Xenopus tropicalis: one gene and its partner. The protein of the gene in region 1 interacts with the protein of each later gene in a biochemical or structural test. Links are inferred from orthologs where the notes say so. Each region holds a gene or a part of one and is shown on either strand. Other genes may lie near its edges.

Region 1 (2,713 bases):
TTTAAAAGCGTATCTATAAAGGGGGAAAGTTAAAGTTCACCATTTGATAAATACACTTCTAAAAATCCCACAGGAATCAATAGAGTGTGGGTGAGTTTTTCTATGGTGAGCTCTGATTTCATAATTTCTAAAGGGAGCAGTCAGGAAGGAATCCTCTGAGGCTTTTTTTGGGTCCCTTCCCCCTGGACAAAATTAGGGGTCAATTACCGGTGCATCACAGGGTACCCACAACTACCCTCGCAAGCCCCCTGTTCCTGCCTTTGCCTGCCCCCCTCTATAGTTATACCACTGGGAAAAGTCGAACATGCAGTGGAGATCTTCACAATACAAGTGCTTTTCATTCAAAGTAAAACCTAAAGTGACCGCAGCCACTGAAGAGCAATATAGAACAGTGTCTGCATCCAATATGGCTTAAAGTGGCATGGAAGAGCTTTCATGCTCCTAAATATCCACTGAAGCTGTATTCTGCCTGAAGCGCTGCCATGTAGGGCTTTCCCTCCCCATTTACCCCAACACCAATGAGCGTCTTTGGGGGAAAAAAAAAGCAAAACCTCACATGAAAATCTCTTTGAAATTCTGCATAAACCTGCAGAGATCAATACCAGAGAGTGCTGCAGCGATGATCAAGGCAGATAGCAAAAGTAGCAGATACTGGGGCAGTTTGATGGTCACTAAATACAAACTTTTGTTGCCATCATTTAGTAAAAATACTGGAATCCTATTGGAAACAAACTAGAATCCAATCTGGATAAAAGTTGAAATAATCAGTTTATGGTAGTGGATTTAGACCTCTGACACCTACTGTACATAAGTGGTGGTCCTATAATATAGTACAAAAATACTCTTTTCATTACACATGAAATGATTTAACTTTAAAATGAGGAAAAGGAATACAGGTGTGAAGATGCTGATCATCCCACGGGGTACGACAGTGGAAGAATACAGTGTAGACAGTATTTACACATTGCAATATTATGGCCGTTTGTACTGTTTTCCCACACGTGGAGAGAAAAGGCAGTTCCTCGGCCGTCTTTGTCACATGACACTATGAAAGACAGAGTCTTTGAGGAGAGCTTCATAGACACCCGAAGAACACTATTTTGTTACAAATATACTGCGTGTGCCACAATGTCACATGTGGGATAAAAAAGTTGCACAAGTTTTCTTTGTGGGGCTACAAAATTCAATTTGTATAGATTTTGGAAAACCGCGACCACTTCTGGCCATGCAACCACTTATCTAATCTGGAGAGCGGGTTTCCAAAAAGGCACTTTTTTATAAAACATAGTAATATATATATTTTATATAAATCTTGTTAGAGAGATTTAAATCTCCATACTCTCAAGCTTTAGAGATCCTGAATGTCACGCACAGGCTGGGGATCTGCACAGCAGTATACTTATGGCTTAGAAGACAGTATTGTTCTACAGCAATAAGTTTCCTGTCCTCTCAGTCACTAACAACCGGGAAGTTCTCTGCCACGTATTTCTCTACCACTTTGTTCGAAAGACCGGGTGCTTCAGTAGTTCTCGGGATGGTGGTCTATCTTGGGGCTGGAGCTCCAGACATCGGAGGGTTACATCCCGTAATCCTGGAGAGAGGTGTGGTGGGATCGTTGGGGCCGTTGTAGCACTTGCAATCTGCAAAAAAAAAAAAATGAACTATGAGCTAGCAGGAAAGGGGGCAGGCCTGGCTTACTATGGAAATACATTCTCAACAAGATAAGGATAAAGCCACAATAAGCACCATTACTTTTTATAGCTGCTGGAGAGTCCAAGGTAGGGATGCAGCTGAGGTTTTTTAGCCTATAGCAAGCAGTCAGCAACAAAGCTCACAGCTAAACCTTCAGTTGATTACCATTACAATTCCAATTGTTTGAATAAATCAGTGGAAAATATCATAAAACCTTGAGCACACTGCTGGGGTTGGCAGGGTACAGTCTGAAAATCTAGCTTAACCAATTCTAGCACCTTCCATAATACCACTGCACCACAGGAACAGAGACAGGCCTACCCAACTGATATCTGGCCAATAATCATCCAGATGTTAATGCGGTCCTTATGCCGCAAACCAATATTGCTCAAGGTGGACGTACCGGTGAAAGATCTGTTCCTTTGTTGAGGATGCCAAACAAGCTGATCTTTTAGTGTATGGCCTTCCAGACTAAGTCAACAGCTTATTGACCCATGTATGAGGCCCACAGATGGGCCTGTCTGATCAATATGTGGCTGGAATTCAGCCAAATATTTACCAGGCAAGAATAGTCGAGTTGATGTGGTCTTTATTCTGTGGGTCAGTAGGCCCCTCTATATGATCAACAGCCCAATTTGGCCCAGTGTGTGGGTGGCCATATTGGGCTCAGATACCCTCATTTGGCAGCTTCCTCAAACAAAAGCATCTTGCAGTGTATGGCATGCTTAAGGCTGACGTGCTATCTTTATTTATAAAAACTGATTACAATGGCACTTGTAAATGCTCACACAAGGCATATTTCATCCAAAAATGCAAAAGGTAAAACCAACAGTGGAGAAAACACCAGGTATGATATTAACCTATCATTACATCTTATTAACATTTCCCATATGCATTTTATTACCTTGAATATAAGTGCAAGATGGTTAGAGTGCTTCTCTGCATTCCATGGAGGTTTAGCACATGCCATCTCTATTATGCTGCAGCCAAGACTCCACACATCACAGCTTCTTCCATACTG
Region 2 (3,663 bases), on another chromosome or scaffold:
TATTACAAATAGTTATTATTTATATATATTTTTTCACAAAGAACAAAGCTCAGCAGCTTTCACCTATACACAAAAACCTACCTTCCCATTACATTCTTGCAGCACTATGTTTTCTGGTTTGAGGTCTCTGTGTATGATCCTCTTCTCATGCAGATATTGTATTCCAGAACCTATGATAATAATAAACCTAAATCAGTTGATTCTCTGCAAGAATTGTTGTAGGCTAAAGAAACAGGATGAAGGATATACTTAAACAGGAGATGCACTGTTAAATGGATATTAAGCAGAGTTGAATACAACAAAAGTGGTAAGTTGCATTTTCTTATCACTTACCAGTATTTAACATATTTTTAAGGTTTTATTTTACCCTGTTTAAGTTACTGTGTGTGGGTCCTTTAGCCCAGTTACTAAGGCATTCAAACTGAACTGGAATACATTCTGCCCCCAGATCCCCCCCAAGTCGAAAACAAAAGAAAAGATCAAGTAAGAAACAATAACAGACGACAATATATTAGAGAGAACATTGGTTGCAAGATTGCCACAGGCGCTTGTGGGGGCACAAATGTTAATAACCCAAAAAGTAGTACAACAGGGCTTCAATTTTAACCAACATCCCCACTGTTGTAATCCCCAAAGCTATTGGCTGTACCGATCTATATCTCAGCCTGCCCTTAAAGGTTAGCTGCTGCAGTCTGCCTGGCATGTCCCAAGCTGGATTTTCTAATGAGAATTGTGTAAAAATAGCTTATATTGTAGGAGTAGAAGGCAGGAGGACTGTAACATTTAACATAATCGGTCCAAAGTCCATATATTTGTATATATCCAAAGAAAATGCCATATAAAACAAATAACAGTCAGGGTAGACAAATTAGACAAAACAATCCTATTGGGTTTATTTAATGTTTAAATAATTTTTTAAAATAGTGATCCATATTACAAAAAGACCCCTTATCCGGAACACCAGGTCCAAGCATTCTGGATAACAGGTCCCATACCTGTACTATTAGTTTACTTAGGAACTTCAAGTTGCTCAAACTAAAAGTGGCAGCTTATCTGTCCATGTATGGGTCCCTCTGATGGGCCCCTTCCATCACCCAGCTAGCTGTCGTCTGGCAGGTTTGAAAATCTCAATATAAAATTGTGCTTCAAGGTTTGAAAATCTCGTTGGATAAAAAGGTATCTTGTACCTGAGGGTAACTAAACTGCATGACTCCATATTGCTAACAAAAAATCCTACAGGGTTTATTTAATATGAAAGGGTGAAGACACACAGAGCTACTACTGTAGTAGCAGCTACTTGTCACGGCTACAAAAATAGACAATGCTCAATGATCATTTACTGATAATTGTCTTATCAGAGGCAATTCTCAGTATGGCAGGGTATTTTCTGGCGCTTAGTAGCCGTGACAAGTACCCCAGTGTGTTTATTCCCTAAATGTTTTTTTAGCAGACGTGAAATATGGATCCAAATTACAGAAAGATCCCTTAAGCATTCTGGGTAATAGCATCTATACCTGACTTATTCTACAGTGCTGCAGAATATGTTGATGCTTTATAAAGTTATATTAATAATAATAACATGAAATTTCAGAAATGTTTGCATCTTATCTCCCATATGTTATATGGTACTAACATTATACATACTAAATATGAATGCTAGGGGTCTCCTGAATAGTTAAATTACCAAAATGTATGGGATAACCATAGTATGTTGCATGCACTTCAGCTATCTATGGTGCATGTAGCAGACCTAAATTGAACATTTTGTACATACAATTTTATGTAGAAAAACTGTAAGATCAGAGATAGAAATGCCAGTGCCACTAGTCATGCTGGGTAAGGAAAGTGATTAGCACAAACAAGCAATCGACAGCAGTGTAGAGATCACAATAGTGCAAAATAATGGCTAAAAACAAAATAAGGTCAGAGAAATCAAATGTGATAGGAAGAAAAGACAACAGCAGAATTTGATGCCGTTGTTTTATTTGATTGGACATCACACATTTTAGAATACGTTGCTTTACTCACCTATGTCACTCATTAAATTTAGCACTTGACTTTCCTTCAAACCACAGCAGTTTTCTGGTTTATTTAGAAGCTGAAAAAGATACAATACTTAGGAACACTTACCGCATGTTAATTGTAGAAAATTCTATAGTGACACTAATTTTAACAACTAACATACAGCAAAGTGGGTTATGCCACATTCTACACCTGGTACAAATTCTAACATACAAGCCAATTGTTATGGGTTAAAATAGTAGTGACCTGCCAATAAATGCAGCTAATGCGTCCCATCTTGTATATATATTTCATTCAGTCTCTCATTACAACAACTCCCTGCACTAAAAGAAAATATAATTCTACTTTTCAGTATGAATTTATTGAAAATTTGTAATGCTTTAAAAGTTGTTTGTAAATGTAATTGCTATTGAAAGCAGCATTTGCTTTACTCCTAGTTTTTCTTAACAATGTTGCAAAGGTCAGTCTCCTCCAGCAAGAGAGGTCTGTCAGTCTGCTGCCTTGTGTTACATTGTTTCAAGAGTCAGAACCACCAAGACATTACCAGTAGGCAGAAGTGACATTACTCGGGAGGCAGATCACCCATGTCAGGGGAAAAAAATTACTTTTAAGTTCAGGAGGTGGGGGGAATACGAGCATGCACTCAGGTACCTGCGGACCACCCCAATATGCTGTAAATATATGTCTTAAAAACTGAACCAACAATGAAAAAAATGTAGCTCTTACATTTAGAATTAATATGGGCATCAGTATTGTAAGTGCTAGAGATAAATGACTATATTGTGACATGGCTCACCTTTCGCAAATCCCCTCCAGCACAGTATTCCATGGCTAGGTGAGGGACGTCATTAACAAGGAAATCCATCTCCGGTGGAACTTCACAAGCTTTCACAACATTTGGATGATTTAACCTAATTAGAAAGAAAGAGGTTTAATGGGATTCTGTCATGATTTTACATAACAAATAATTAATTCTACCATTTAATATTTTATTCTTGAACCAACAAATGTATTTTTTTGGCTGTAATATTGGTGTGTAGGCACCATCTCAGTGCATTGTGCCTGAGTCTGAGCTTTCAGAAGGAGCCAGCGCTACACATTAGAACTGCTTTCAGCTAACCTATTGTTTCTCCTACTCCCATGTAACTGGAGGAGTCTCAAGCCGGACTTGGATTTCTTACTATTGAGTGCTATTCATATATATATAACAGTAAAAATAGGAAACCTTCAAAGTTATAACTGCTGCATCACATAGACTGAATAGAAAGATAAGTAATAAAAAGTAACAAATAGCAATAAAATTGTAGCCTCACTAGCCATAGTTTTGGATGGCCAGGGTTTGTACTGAGGAGATCCTTTATATAACTATATATGTGACGATAATATAAATTCACAAACAATTCTGAATAATTGTTATTACGCTGCATTGAGAGAGCACCTTCTAAAATCAAACTGTGTCAAGCTCCCACATTGTACTTCTGCTCTCAGTCTCAGTGGGGAAATTAATGGGGTATACAGGGGGCCTTAAATTTACTAAATTACTACTGTAGGACATAAACAAACATAATGGGCCCGATTCACTAAAGTCCGAAATAAGGAGTGCTATTTATAGCATGCGTTAAAAATCTTATCACTTCTTAT

What was found.
Region 2: of the proteins of map3k1 (region 1) and chuk, one has a biochemical effect on the other in vitro, tested with the Homo sapiens proteins (3 studies listed by BioGRID). The link is inferred for Xenopus tropicalis from reciprocal best matches to the Homo sapiens genes MAP3K1 and CHUK.

The regions. Positions count from the first base shown.
Region 1 is NC_030677.2:190,914,081-190,916,793, forward strand, and holds part of map3k1 (mitogen-activated protein kinase kinase kinase 1), read right to left. Parts: coding exon 2,597-2,713; intron 1,641-2,596; coding exon 1,491-1,640; 3' UTR 1-1,490. UniProt on the Homo sapiens protein: Component of a protein kinase signal transduction cascade. Activates the ERK and JNK kinase pathways by phosphorylation of MAP2K1 and MAP2K4. May phosphorylate the MAPK8/JNK1 kinase.
Region 2 is NC_030683.2:110,582,714-110,586,376, forward strand, and holds part of chuk (inhibitor of nuclear factor kappa-B kinase subunit alpha), read right to left. Parts: intron 2,934-3,663; coding exon 2,819-2,933; intron 2,099-2,818; coding exon 2,029-2,098; intron 171-2,028; coding exon 82-170; intron 1-81.